Linked DNA regions of Caenorhabditis elegans. The protein of the gene in region 3 interacts with the protein of the main gene of each other region in a pairwise test. Each region holds a gene or a part of one and is shown on either strand. Other genes may lie near its edges.

Region 1 (4,724 bases), on a different chromosome or scaffold from region 3:
AAAACCACCCGAAAATCCCCCAATTTCACATAATTCTTGTCAAATTTCACACATTTTCAGTGCCTTTAAGCCCCGTTTTTTTGCTATAAAATTGCAACATTTTTCCTGTAATTTATTGGATTTTTGTGTTATTTTTTCTCTCGTTTTCAGCGATTTTCAGCATATCTTCATCGATTTTTTGCAGATTTTCAGCTATTTTTTTATCGATTTTTTTGGGAGATTTTTGTCATTTTTCACCTAATTTTATTGATTTTCAGCCTAATTTTGTGTGTGCTTTTACCCATTTTTCTATTATTTCCATCATTTTCCCCGAAATTTTATAGATTCTACCTATTTTTCAGCAAAATCTCATTTTTCAGCGATTTTTCATCATTTAAGCTATTTTTTATCGATTTTCACCGAATTTTCAGCTATTTTATCAGAAAAATCTCAGTTTTTTCCGGCAAATTCACTCAAATTTCGCCTATTTTAGCGAGGAGCTCTTTTTTCCAGCATTTTCACCGAATTTTCTTTTTTTTTCGTAAAAAAATCACCAAATTTCCTCATTTCCAACCTATTTTCTCCATTTTTTCGCGGTTTTTCCCGAATTTTAAACAATTTTTCGCCAAAAAACCCCAAATTTCTTCATTTCCAACCTTTTTATTCCATATTTTCGCCATTTTCTCGGGATTTTCAGCTATTTTTTCCAGAAAAACTCCTATTTTTTCGGCAAATTCACTCAAATACCGTTTATTTTCTCACAATTTATCGTTTTGGAGCTATTTTTCCAGCATTTTCACCGAATTTTAAGCAATTTTTTAAAAAATCACCAAATTTCCTCATTTTCGTCCAATTTTCTCCATTTTTTCGCGATTTTGAGCAATTTTTTCCAGAAAAACTCCAAATTTTCTCACTTTCACCCTATTTTTTTCCATATTTTCGCCATTTTGTCGGGTTTTTCAGCTATTTTTTCAGAAAAACCTCCATTTTTTCGCGATTTCCACCGAATTTTCAACGATTTTTCCAAAAAATCGCCAAATTTCCTCATTTTCGCCCAATTGTCTCCATTTTTCCGCGGTTTTCCCCTGATTTTCGGCTATTTTTTTTTTCAGAGAAACTCATTTTTTCGCGATTTCCACCGAATTTTCAGCTATTTTTCCATTAAAAAAACCCATTTTTTCGTGAATTTCTCCGAATTTTCGGTTTTTTTTTTCAGAAAATTCGGAAAAATTGGAATTTTTCACTGAAAACTCTGAAAAATTCAATAAAAATTGGATATTTTTACTAAAAACTCGGGAAAATTCGTGAAAATTGCCGTTTTTCACGTGAAAATTCGAGAAAAATTGAAAAATGTGGAATTAGTATCCAAAAATGCTCTCGGAGCCCAAAATTCAGGAAAATCCTGAAAAAATTAACCAATTTTACTCAGAAAACTGCAAAATTTTTTTTTCAGTTTTTCTCGCAAAAATGTGCTAAACTCTCAGATTAAAATTCAATTTTCCGTGGCAAATGTGCTCTATCGGTGATTTTGGTGTGAAAATTCCAAACTTTTGCATTAGAAATTACAAAATTTTGGAATTTTCCACCCGAAATTGCTCACAGGAGCACATTTGACCACTTTCCCGGGGAACCTCTGCCCAAATTTTCAAATTTTTCCATCCATTTTCTCCGGATTTTCAGCTCTATTTTTTAAAGAAAATTCCCAATTTTCCAGATGAGTGATCACCAGGATGGCATGAAACTTGAAGATATTGAACGCCAATTTTTGGACGTTGCTCAACGTGAAGGAGGTCTCGAAGCGATTCAGCCGACCACTGGACCACTGGAAAATGAAGAAAATCTGAAATCATCGACTGGTGGTGGTGGTGGAGAGGATGATAATGATCGGAAAAAGAGAAAACGATCGAGAAGTAGAGATCGCGATACGAGAAGACGCTCGAGAAGGTGCTTAAGCTGGAAAAAATTGCATTTTTTGACGGAATATTCGAGAATTTTCGTGGAAAACTCGGCGAAAATCGAGTTTTCCGCTAGAAAATTGACCCAAAATCGGATTTTTAGGAGGAAATTTTGTTTTTTTTTGGCCAGAATTACGCTGAAAATCGCTTTTTGCATGAAAAACGGCTTAAAAATGACTTCAAACCCAGAAAATCAACATTTTTAGAGCAAAAATTCGAGGATTTTCGTCGAAAACTCTGCGAAAATCGAGTTTTCCGCTAGAAAATGGTCTAAATTTGAAGAAAATTGACCCAAAATCGGATTTTCAGAGCGAAATTTGATGATTTTCCATGAAAAACACTACCGAAAATCCCATTTTTCCTGCCAAAAAACTCTTTAAAAAATCGATTTTTGCTTGAAGAAATCCACCAAAATTTTCATTTTCTTTGCCAAAAATCTATGAAAAATCGATTTTTTCACAGGAAAAGCGGAAAAGATGCAATTTTAGCTGAAAATCCACCGAAAATTCGCATTTTTTACTTTGAAAAATCGCAAAAAATCGATTTTTCCTTCCAAAAACCTCCAAAAAATTGCAATTTTAGCTGAATTTCCACGGAAAAGTCAAATTTTCTGTCCAAAAGTTTGCAAAAATTCGATTTTCAGTTGGAAAATTGCGTTTTTTGGTCAAATTCCACCGAAAATTCCCATTTTTTAACCTAAAAAGTTGTAAAATATCGATTTTTCCTGCCGAAAACCCCGAAATTTTCAGTCGTGGAAGCGAGAAATCGCAATTTTAGCTAAATTTCCCACGAAAATTCCCATTTTTTTAACCTAAAAAGTAACGATAAAATCCATTTTCCTGTTCAAAAACTCGCCAAAAATAGATTTTTTAATTAAATTCCACCAAAAAAATTCGCATTTTTCCGCCCAAAAACCTCCAAAAAGTCCCAATTTTAGCTGAATTTCCATTGAAAAGTCTAATTTTCTGTCCAAAAAACCGCAAAAAATCGATTTTCCAGTGGAAAATTGCGTTCTTTGGTCAAATTTTACCTAAAAATTTTGAATTTTTACAATAAAAAGTGGCGGTTTTTACTCAAATTGTACTGAAAAACGCAATAAGAATGGTTTTTCTGTCCAAAAATTTGCGAAAAATCCATCTTTCCGCCCAAAAACCTTCAAAAAATCGCAATTTTAGCTGAGTTTCCACGGAAAAGTCAAATTTTCTGTCCAAAAGTTGGCGAAAAATCGAATTTCCAGTGGAAAATTGCGAAAATTTACATTTTTAACTTAAAAAATCGATTTTTCCTTCCAAAAACCTGCGCGAATCTGACAAAAATTGCAATTTTTCTGCATGAAAACTCATTTTTCTAGCCAAAAAAGTGCGCAAAAATCGATTTTTCCCCTGGAAAATTGCGATTTTAGCTGAAAATCACTGAAAATCCGCATTTTTTAACCTAAAAAATCGCAAAAAATCGATTTTTCCCGCCAAAAACCTGCGAAGCTGCCAAAAATTGCAATTTTTCTGCATGAAAACTCATTTTTCTAGCCAAAAAATCGCGAGAAAATCGATTTTTCCCGCCAAAAACCTGCGAAACTGCCAAAAATTGCAATTTTTCTGCATGAAAACTCATTTTTCTAGCCAAAAAATCGCGAAAAAATCGATTTTTCCCGCCAAAAACCTGCGAAACTGCCAAAAATTGCAATTTTTCTAGCCAAAAAATTGCAAAAAAAATCGATTTTTACACTGGAAAATTGCGATTTTAGCTGAAAGTCACTGAAAATCCGCATTTTTTAACCTAAAAAATCGCAAAAAAATCGATTTTTCCCGGCAAAAAACCCCAAAAACCCCCCATTTTCAGTCGTGATCGTGGAGAACGTCGTGGTGGTGGAGGTGGAGGTGATCGTGATCGTTCTCGATCCCGTGAACGTCGTCGAGGCGGTGGTGGTCGTGATGAGCCGAGACGTCGTGGAGGTGATGATGAAGCCCGTTCGCGCCGTGAGCCGGAGCCCCAGAAGCCTCGTGAGCCCAAAAAGTACCGATTCTGGGATGTTCCGCCGACTGGATTCGAGACAACTACACCGATGGAGTACAAGAATATGCAGGCGGCTGGACAGGTTCCACGTGGATCTGTACAGTCTGCAGTGCCCGTTGTTGGTACGGAAAAATGGAATTTTTCGCCTGACAATTCGGAAAAATTCGAGAAAATTGGCGGTTTTTGCCTGAAAATTCGGAAAAATTCGAGAAAATTGGCAGTTTTCACTGAAAATTCGGAAAAATTCGAGAAAATTGGCAGTTTTCACTGAAAATTCGGAAAAATTCGAGAAAATTGGCAGTTTTCACTGAAAATTCGGAAAAATTCGAGAAAATTGGCAGTTTTCACTGAAAATTCGGAAAAATTCGAGAAAATTGGCAGTTTTTGCCTGAAAATTCGGAAAAATTCGAGAAAATTGGCAGTTTTCACTGAAAATTCGGAAAAATTCGAGAAAATTGGCAGTTTTCACTGAAAATTCGAGAAAATTCGATTTTTTCACTGAAAATTCGGAAAAATTCGAATTTTTCATCGAAAATTCGGAAAAATTCGAATTTTTCATCGAAAATTCAATAAAAATTGGATATTTTTACTAAAAACTCGGGAAAATTCGTGAAAATTGCCGTTTTTCACGTGAAAATTCGGGAAAATTTGAATTTTTCACTGAAAAATCGGAAAAATTGGATTTTTTACTGAAAATTCGGAAAAATTGGATTTTTTCACTGAAAACTCTGAAAAATTCAATAAAAATTGGATATTTTTACTAAAAACTCGGGAAAA
Region 2 (6,681 bases), 4.2 Mb from region 3:
TTGAAATTTACCGAATTTGGATGAACAAATCCAAAGCACACTCGAAAAAGTCGGTAACAGCAAAATTGATAATCAAAGTTGCATACGAACGAATTGTCTTCGGTGATTTATAGATAGCCATGTAAATGAGCATTAAATTGAATGAGCATCCAAGTAAAGCCCATATACAGTGCCATATTTCAAAGAACGCGTGCATTATTGAATTGGCAAATGGTGCAAGACTGAAATTTTTAGAATTTTGTCGTATAACAAGCGAACATAAAATAATTAATGAATGAATTATCGCTTCCGCTCAAATGGTTTCAGTCTTCTTTCAAGAAGTCTATCCGAAGATCCTTTGTTATTGTGCATAGGGAAATTAAATGACACGTGGTTTCTCAATAATGTGCATTTTTTTACTTCCGAATCAAAATCTTTAGCAGTGATTCATCGACTCCAATGTCTTTTTTCAAAACAAGTCGTTCCATTGTGTTCTTCTTAATCTTCTCCAGTTTCTCTTTATCGTCATAAAGCAGCGCTTAACTCTGTTTTGTAATTTGCAAAGGTATTTATTACAGATGAGAAAAAAAAGTCGTATTTATCGATATGATGGGACGCAGTAACAAGAACGAAAGAACACATAGGGAAAAAAAAATGACAAGTGAATGAAAGCAATGGTTAAAGCAATAATAAAACCCCTAGTTTAGTGTGAAAATAATTTTCAAAAAAGATGAATAGGAAAGTCTTCGTTATTCTTTGAACGTTGGTCAAATGAATTTCAGCGTTTCCAAAAATTGTGTCGACAGTCCAGGAAAAACTCATAGTACGATTAAAAAGAATGAGGGCACTGTTGATTGAAACTAATTGAAGTAAAATCATAATTTAGTACTTGGAAGACTATTGGAAAGAGTTCAATTGGGCGAGACAGCATATTATTTCACTTTTCAAATCGGTTCAAACCGTTTTGTCTCTTTTTGAACTCGTCCACGAGTAGATATTGCTCTAACTTTGACCTCCACAGTATGAGGTGATGGAACTGATTGTGTCGACAACGCTCGTGCTTTTGTGATAGCCGACTTGGTTGCAGGAAACTCTATCGCTTTTCCGGTTTCTTGAATTGTTTGCAATGATGGCGTAGCTCGTTTCACAGGTGGCGCTTCACTTTCCACATCATCTCGACGGCTCTGTGAATATAATCGAATATAATCGATATTAATACTAATATGATTATCGTACCTTTGATTTTTGTGCCCGTGGTGTTGAAGATGAAGCTGCGCGCGATCGCGATGAAACAGGGCTCAAGAGTTCTTGCGGTTTTTCGTGGAAATTCAACTCTGTAGATGTACTCAATGTTGATCCGGTGTCGGCTACAGGTTGATTGGAATTCTTCTGAAAAACAAATTATGTTTAATGGCTATGTACCTGAATTGAAAATTCGATTTAGACCAAGTTAACTCTAGCAACCAAGGGTGCCATCAAAAATCGAATAATTAAAATTTTCTATTTCCGAAAAAACTCGAAAAAAATGTTTTAAAAATTAACCATAAAGTTCTTTTTTTTTAAAATCAAATTATGTTTATGTTGATGAATAAAATAAGAAAACATTTTTTTAAATTTCTCTCTAAAAAGAAGAACAATTACAAAATTTTTGAAAGATATTTTTCGTGAAAACGAACATTTTCGATTTTAGTGAAAAATCGAAAAACCGACATCATTGCTGGCAGCAATTGATCGATTTAATCTCCAAAAAATACCTTTAAATTTTTCTTATTCTGGGAAATTGGCCATGATGCTTGTTGGACGAAGGAAGTGCTCGACGCGGAGCTTGTGGATGGTTTCGAAGGAGAAATTTCTGATTTCTTAGATGCGGTTCCGTTCTTTCCGGCCTGAAAATAAGAAATAAAATCAAAATGTTGAAACTTAGAAAAAAAGTTGGTACCTCCTGGCTCTTTCTATTCTGATTTTTTACAGATTTCTTCTTGGACGATTTGTTCTTTTTAGCAGCTTTCTCGGAACTATCAGCCACTTCCGGTTTCTCGCGTTTCGCTTTTCCCATTGTACCCATACAGTTTTCAGCTCCACATTCACAGTCTGGTAAGTTCTCCTCATTGTTCATATTGTAACTGAACGTGATCTCGTCGCCGTCGTCAATAGTGCGAATTGCCCGAATATAACTGCGAGTATCATATAAACTGCCTTCTTTGGTTTTCTTAACGAACACTTTTGTAACGAAAGATGCAGCGTTGGGATCGCAAGAATGATTGATGTATCTGGAGATGTTACCGTATCTGGCAGCGTCCACGGTTAATCCTTTGTGCAATTCCATCATATAATGGTTCGCCTTGAAAAAAAAGAGTATTTGGAAAGTTATACGTTGATAACTTAACTCTGATATTTTGCTTCTTAGACCTAAATAGCCCAAATCTACCAAATTTCGTATTTTTTTCTGAAAATGACAATTGGCAAAATATAAAATTTTAGCTGGAAATAGGCATTTTCCCAAAACTTTGAATCGCCGTAACTTTTTTTTGAGAAAATTTCAGAACGTTTTGTTCTAAAATTCGGTTAAAAGAAAAAGTAAAAATTCGTGTTTTTATCGCAAAAAAACTTTTTCCTTACCTGGAAATCTCGCGAAATTGAAACCGAATCCAAGCGCCTCTTCTTTTCAGCTTTATCGATTATTTCTCCAACGTACTCGCATATGTATTCGTCTTTTTCGATTTGACCTTTCGCAAAGACACCGTATCCTTTACACAAAGTGGCTGCCAGTTTGATTTTCTCGCTAACTATTCCCATGGAAACTTGACGATTATGACAAACGCCCTTTTTCGAACAACTCGGGGGACATTCATAATCATCGGCGAGATATTGACACGACAGCTTTGTACAGCGGTCAGCTCCTTCACAATTGCAAACTTCGTTGTTGTGATACTCTTCCAGTTTTGGTTCGCATTTGTAGTACACAGATGTCTGGAATTATGAAGAAATTGCTATAAATAAATCTGAATCGGTTAAAAGTAAGAAAATAATTGTTAAGTTTTTCGGCAATTTTTAGCTGAATTTTTCTGCAGCACTGTTTGCACTTTTGTCCCAAAATGGTCTAAAACTACCAAATTTCGTAATGAGACATTCTCATTTTCCTCCAAAAAGAAGTTAGACGGTTCAAAATTTTGGAAAAAAATGACATTTTTTCAGCTAAAATCTCAAATATTGCAGATCTGACAAATTTCAGAACTTTTTTGTTTTTTTAATTTTTTAAAAGTAATGTTCCGTTGGTTGAGATATTAACTTTCGTCGGTTCCGCAATTTTAGCTGAATAAAAGCCTTTTTCCAAACCGTTGAAAAATACAAAACCATAGTCCGAATTAGATATTTCCTGAAGAATCAGTAGAATACTCACTCTCAGTCTTCCAAATACAGTTTTACACACGTACGGGCATCTCTTCAACGCAGTATCTGCTTGTTCCTCATATTTCTCTTCCCACAAGTTTCTAAGCGTCGAATTCTTTGCCAACGAAAAGTAATTCTTGGTAAGACGGGCGATATCCGAGACCGGCACAATTGACATGAGAGGTTGTTTCTCTTTATCATTTTCTTGGGGTATCAGCCACTGGACAACAGTATATCCAAGACGTTCAAAGTTGATATTACCACGATTTCCAGTAGGGTACTTGTACCAATCGAGTGTTAATGCTAGCCAGAATCTGAATAGAAAATACATGAATTTGATAATTCTGATATTATAAACGCACGAATTGTCCGTCCACTTCGCGAGAATCAATGTATTTTGCGGAATCGGATCTCCACAAACACACGATTCGCATTGATCGTCTGGTATCGGTTTTCCATTCAGCGTTTCCACTTCTCGACATCCAGAATGAAACGATCGGCAACAAGTCTTGCACATGATTGTTTTTGAATTCGAAGATTTCTCACATCCAATTACGCAACACGCTTTGATATGGGATTTCATTGTAACATCCGCTTTCGGAACAACAGTGACGGCGTTTTTTCTTTTTTTATGTTTATTGTAGAATTGAACATCAGCACCAGGTAGATAGTGTGCTGGACAAATTATCATTTCGAACTTCTCCACTTTCCCACCAATTGTTATCGAAACATTCAAATCTCGGCCACCTGATGGATAACACGACGTCAAATGGAAAGCGCGGAGACAGAGAGCACATTCTGCAATATCTCCAACATAAGCCGATTGCTTGTGATGGTCCAAATTGCAACTATTGCAGCAATGAAGAGGGCACAGAAGTCTTGCTTGGCATTCGAGTCGGGCTGCATATTGAAAGTGAAAGCCGCCACTGTTGTAATTCTAAAAGTTTACACGATATTTGATGAAGAAAAATAATCGAATAGCTTACGATCATACAACTCGCGTGAAATTTACTACGACAAGGAAACATTGGTATATTTCCCAAGAGACGCTTGCCGTCGTCCATTTCTCCATTGATGTATCCATGACATGTGATCAAATCAGATTTTCCGGTTTTATCCTTCTCTTCGTGGCAAATCACGCATTTTGAGTCAGCATCTGGAAGAAACTCTCCTTCCGCGTCGGCTTCAATCGGGGTGAATGGCGAAACACTCAGAAACTTTCGTGGCACGTGGGTGAAGGTAGCTGGAAAATTGAAAATTTAATGGACTGCCTGGAATTAATTAATGAAAATACTTTTTGGATAATCTGTGTCAACGAACTCCTCATATTCACTAAGAAATGCCTTCGTTTCCTGTATTTGCATCGAAATAATGTCTTTGGGAGCATTCGTTAGAATCGGTGCTTCTTCTTGCTTGTCTTCTGCATTGGATGAGGTTTCGGAACCCGCGCCTTGTGGAGTAGCATTCCGTTGTTTAACGTTCTTCTTTTTAAAAGGTTTATTTGGTCCTTCTTTCTCAACGATACCGTCCTGTGGAGCACAGTTCTCTTTGCTGGAGTCACCTGGAATTCGATGCATTTTTCGACCTGATTTTCGATTATTTAAACTCACCAGAGCTCGGCAGCATAATTTGGCACCAAGCGCGAGAAGTAAGCAACTCTGAAAATGAAATTAGAATATGAATCGACTTTTTGACAAGTATTAATAAAAGAAAAACAGAAAATGAGACGTTATTCAAGCTGATCGAGGACACATTCGAAAGTCGCGCCTTACAACGATACTCCAAAATGACGGAAGCGCGAATTGTTTAGTTTTTGAGAAATATATGCATTTTTAAAGGAAAACAGCGGAAAACTATCAAAACGGTGATTAATGGAGATTCTTAAGAAAAAAATTTATAATTGTGCGTCCATAGGCTGCGGAAAACGGGAATTTCCCGCGGTCCGAGGCGTCTACAGTGAGAGGGGAAAACGAGGGAGTTTTTCGCTTCGCAATTGGTCAGTTTCAAAAAATTGGGCGTTTCCAACGAATCAGAGGCTGCAAAATTTCAAGCTGAGCAATGAAAAAGCGAAAAACTGCAGGCCCCACCTACTTTTGAATTTTGATAGAAAAAAGGCGAAGAAACTGCACTATGGACGCCTCAGACCGCGAGAAATTTGAATTTCCGTTTTCCGCAAACTATGAACATTCCTTTTAAAAAATATGCCAAGAAGGTTCGAAATCACGGGAAATGCAAAGAAAATCGCTTGCAAAATCCCAAAAAATTGCTGCAAATTTGATTATGTAAATAAGGAGACCCGAAGAACTCGGGGGATGTCCAATTGGGGGGATTACCAACTCGGGGGATTGGCCCCGCCCACAGAACCGTGGCATGCAATACGCCCATTTCTGCAACTGCCGCACGGTTTTAAAACTGTATTTTTCTCAATAGAACGAGAAATAACAAGAAAAAATAATTTTAAAACCGTGCGGCAGTTGCAGAAATGGGCGTATTGCAAGCCACGGTTCTGTGGGCGGGGCCAATCCCCCGAGTTGGTAATCCCCCCAATTGGACATCCCCCGAGTTCTTCGGGTCTCCTATATTCACATCATTCTCGCCATACCTGTGCGGCATTCGGCATTCGGCATATGCCGATGCCGGCATAATGCCGGTTTTTGGAGCACGGCATATGCCGTTATGCCGATTTGAAAATTCACGGCATATGCCGAAAATGCCGTTATGCCGAAAAATAAAATGACCGGCATAACGGCATAATGCCGACATTATGACGGCATTATGTCGTTTTTTTCTGCATTTTTGGCTTTGTTGTTTTTTGTCAAAAACCATATTTTCATAATTTTCGTGTATCCGACGAAACATAAAGATCATGCAAATAGTAAAGTTTCTACGCAGATTGTTCCATTTTTGAGATTTCTTGAAGCTTTTTGCTCGAGCATTTGGAAAATTTCTGCAACAATTTTGGCTTGACTCGAAAATTGTCTGAAAATGCACCAATATGTTTCAAGGCGTGTACATTAAAGGGGGAGTACAGTTTGTGGGTATTTTGCTTAAATAGACTAAAACTGGTCCAAAACCACCGAATTTCATAATGAGACTTCACAAAAAATTTCCAAACATTTTTATGGCCGGTCAAATTTTCGAAAAAAAAAGAGCCAAACTTTGCTAAAATCTAAAATTTCGCACACTTTTCTTTGTCACAGCTGCTGAATTTCTGTTTTTCTGAAATTATCACCCTTTAATCCTTATTTTAGTAATTTATCTCGCGGAAATTCGTTGATTAAGACAACTTTTGGGCCGATAGGCATCCAAAAA
Region 3 (3,754 bases):
TTTTCAGAAACCGACAGCCAATTGCGGTTCAAGCATCTTATATTGACGATGAATCCGACGGAAAATTGAAAAACGAGGAGAAGCAGAATCAACAAAATGCTACTCAACCACCTTACTGTTACACAAATCAGAACCCAACTCCCTACCAAAATCAAAATCAAATTCAGAACCAAAACCAGTATTCAAATTATTATCGTACACCAAGTCTTTCAAGAGGAACGGATAGCCGTCCTGTGTCCACTGCAACTGACACTGACCAAACCAAAAAACAATCGATGAGTACATTCAAATAATTCTCTCATTTCAGTTCACATTTCCCATGACCCAGTTATATTTTGATCTAAACTCGTGAATCTGCGGTTTTGCAGTCTAATCTCTACCTCTTCCCGTTTCTAGTTCCGTTTTGTTGTATTTAATACCTTCGTGTTCTTCCCGGTAATTACACATTATCATTTTTGTTCACAATTCGCATATCTCACAATTCACTTTTCACTCCAAACAAAAAATATGTTGACCAAATTTATGCATAATGAACATAATATTAATATTGACGGCGTTAAAATTTATTTCGATTGGAGGGACTTAGCAAATCCAACACGTTGAGTTCCAACATCATAGATCTGAAAATTTCAACTTTTAAATTAAAAAAAATTATGTCGTTTTTTTATTAGGTTTCGTTGTGTACTTACGTTACAATATTGACGAATGAATGGATCTCCAAGAATCCATGATGGTCCAAAACCTCCACTGCTGAATGGGAAGATGGCGTAGATGCAATTGTTGCTTCCATCTCCGAGTGGAATAATGGTGTTGGATGAGTCAATATTGTATACTTGGTTTCCAATGGTGATATCAAGAGTGTTGATCTTTGCAGAGCATGGAAGGATGTATACACCGTAATCATCTCTCCATGTGGCTCCAACAGCGTCAGCAATAGCAGAAACGTAGGCCTTTGGTCCTCCGATGAGAGAAGTTCCGGTGTCGGAGATGACTTGCCATCCCTTGCTAGAGTGATAGCTTCCAGATCCAATAGCACTCATCTTGAATTGGTAATAAGTGGCAGAGGACAATGGTTGATAAGCGATAACTGGACCACAGTTCTTTGTATCAATTCCTCCATAAGTGTAGACTCCTCCTTGAACTCCGTTTTGATCTCCTTCATGCTCAAGGAAGACGGTGAAAAGTGGAAGATCAACAAGGTTTTGGTTGATGGCGTTGATGAATGGTGGAGTGATTTGATCAACAGCAATCGATTTGAACGCAAGTCCAAGGATTCCATCAAGAGGTTGTCCCTCGAAGAAGGCAGCAAGTGAGGTGGCTTGTCCGAAAACAGTGTTTGGAACAGCGAGTTGTGGTTCTCCAATTCCTCCGAAGGTGATAGTGTCCTGTCCAAGGAATCCTCTGGCGGATCCTGTTCCATACTCAATAATGAAGTTTCTTCCATTGGTCTTGTATGAGGAAGATTTGGAAGCGTCAAACTTGTTTTGGTAGAAGCAAGAATCGGTGTAGTTCGCTCCAGCTCCACAGCAAGCTTGGTCGTCGCATTCGAATTGGCAAATAACTATAAAATAATTGCAATTAATGCATCAAATTGTACAATTGCATGAGAGCAAAATTCAAGAAATGAACTTTAATACCACACGAGACTACATTGCAGTTTAATAGTTCCATAGAAATACGCGTATACTTCAAAAGAGACATTTGACAGCTAGATAAGGCAATAAATTTTTCAACTTTTCAACGACACATATTATGATTTGAAAACTTACTTCCACGGCAAGCTGGAACGGTTGAGCAATTTTCTGGCTTAGTTCCACATGTGATGTCTGGGATCCAAAGATTGGATGATCCAGTATCAAGAATAACCTTGAATTGTTGTTGTGGAGTTCCAATGGTGATGTTTCCGACGTATGCTTCATCTTCGTAATCGTTGACGTATTGTCCAACAGACATATCATTTGATTGCTTGTTCATCATGAAACGACGAATCTCACGATCCTTTCTGTACTGAACCCATCTTCCTTCACGGATCAATCGGTTTCTGTATGGCTCAATTTTCACGAGTGGAACTTGCACAACTGCAGCGAGAGCTGCTGCCACAAGGGCAAGCAACAAAAAAAGGTTCTGCATACCTGAAATGATTTTGATTTGGAAAATGGACTAGAATTGAAAGTAGCAGGAACGAAAACGAGGAAAGTGAAATGAGTTGATGCTGAACTAAAATGAATTGCATAACGAAAACGGTTATCTTAATGAGGTGGGCATTGACGCGGAGAAACTATTGATAAGTGCTCGTAAACTGTAAGATAAGAGACAAATCCGGTGTAATGAAAGGACATCAAAGTTGAGAATCAGCCTGAAAATGTATTTTTACAAATGATATCAGTTTCGCTTGACTCTAAAATGATGTAGTAACGAAAAGACGGACTTCCAGAACAAGTAACAATTTTCAAGCATACATAGACATTTCGAACCATCCTAAAGTTTTTATTATTGAATGTATACCAACTTTATTTGTTGAATTATGTTTATATTTTAGTTCAATTAACTTTACAATTATTAGTAGACGTAAAAACATGAAAAGCTTTTATGATATATAAATTTAATGCAAGCTGGCAGAAAATGCGATTTGTTGGTTTCCCATATCATACAATGCACAAAGTCGCGAATAAATGGACTCCCTAGCACCCACGATGGCCCGAATCCGTTATTTGTAAATGGCAGGAAGACCATTTGACAAGTTTGAACAATGCTGTCAGCTGAAGTACAATCGATATTGGTTATTATTTAAGAAAACTTACGGAACGGAAGAATGAGGTTTTGAGGAGAAACTTGGTAAATTGTACTACCAATTGTGAAGTTAACTTAAAGAATTTTTGGCTCGCAATCAATTAGATAAACTTCGTTTTTTGAATCCCACTGAAATTTTACATAACTTGGAAGAATATGCTATTGCAATTTAATCATACAGTGGCTCCTGCTGCATCAGCAATTCCAGCCACGATAGCTTTGGGTCCATAGATAATAGAGCTTGCTGTATCTGATAAAGCAGTCCATCCATTCCTTGCAGAATAAGCTCCGGACGATACTGACGTCATCTGAAATGATCTTGTGATTTGTCTTTAAAACTGTTGTATACTTTCAAGCCGACTTACATAAAACTGATAAGCAGCACCTGTCGTCAATGGGTGATACTGTTTTACTTTTGCACAGTTCTGAGTATCTTGTCCGCCAAAAGTGATTTGTCCAGCTCTATTTGGACGATTCCCAAGATAAACATGAAATATTGGATCAACCAGTTTCTGCAGTCAAATATTTTTTTGACAGAAACAAGATTCCATTTTTTTAAACTTCTTGCTAAAACTTGTGTTTTCTTCTAAAAATTAAAACGCTAACTTGCCCAACTGCATTAACAAACGGAGGATAAATATTTTGTTGTGAATTAGCTAAGAATCCGAGACCCATGATTCCATCGATATCTTCCTATAAATAAAATAATTGTTATGATACAATTTAAAGTTTTTACATATTTTTAATAGCTGAAAAGTTGAGATCCATTAAAAACTACGACCTGCTCAAAAAATGAAGGAATGCACACTGCTGTAGCAACAACAGTGTCTGGAACAATCAATTGACTTTCAGATATTCCACCAAATGAAACAGTATCAAATCCCAGAATACCACTGGCACTGTCGGAACCGTACTAAAAACAAATTGATTTTAAAGATTTTTGACTCAAAAATTGCTCCCAGTA

The links.
Region 1: the proteins of asp-2 (region 3) and uaf-1 interact in a two-hybrid assay, tested with the Caenorhabditis elegans proteins (one large-scale study listed by BioGRID).
Region 2: the proteins of asp-2 (region 3) and mes-4 interact in a two-hybrid assay, tested with the Caenorhabditis elegans proteins (one large-scale study listed by BioGRID).

Annotation. Positions count from the first base shown.
Region 1 is NC_003281.10:1,073,525-1,078,248, reverse strand, and holds the start of uaf-1 (Splicing factor U2AF 65 kDa subunit), read left to right. Parts: upstream 1-1,693; coding exon 1,694-1,923; intron 1,924-3,773; coding exon 3,774-4,069; intron 4,070-4,724. UniProt on the Caenorhabditis elegans protein: Necessary for the splicing of pre-mRNA. Binds to the polypyrimidine tract of introns early during spliceosome assembly.
Region 2 is NC_003283.11:13,432,519-13,439,199, forward strand, and holds mes-4 (Histone-lysine N-methyltransferase mes-4), read right to left. Parts: upstream 5,028-6,681; 5' UTR 4,996-5,027; coding exon 4,980-4,995; intron 4,931-4,979; coding exon 4,664-4,930; intron 4,613-4,663; coding exon 4,356-4,612; intron 4,307-4,355; coding exon 3,732-4,306; intron 3,684-3,731; coding exon 3,380-3,683; intron 2,950-3,379; coding exon 2,599-2,949; intron 2,321-2,598; coding exon 1,919-2,320; intron 1,866-1,918; coding exon 1,734-1,865; intron 1,369-1,733; coding exon 1,216-1,368; intron 1,164-1,215; coding exon 924-1,163; 3' UTR 532-923; downstream 1-531. Other genes in the region: srd-17 (Serpentine Receptor, class D (Delta)), read right to left, coding at 12-196. UniProt on the Caenorhabditis elegans protein: Histone methyltransferase. Dimethylates 'Lys-36' of histone H3, a specific tag for epigenetic transcriptional activation. Plays a central role in early development and is responsible for all H3 'Lys-36' dimethylation until about the 40-cell stage.
Region 3 is NC_003283.11:9,201,455-9,205,208, reverse strand, and holds asp-2 (Peptidase A1 domain-containing protein), read right to left. Parts: upstream 2,133-3,754; 5' UTR 2,131-2,132; coding exon 1,770-2,130; intron 1,562-1,769; coding exon 690-1,561; intron 621-689; coding exon 564-620; 3' UTR 511-563; downstream 1-510. Other genes in the region: inx-10 (Innexin-10), read left to right, coding at 8-293.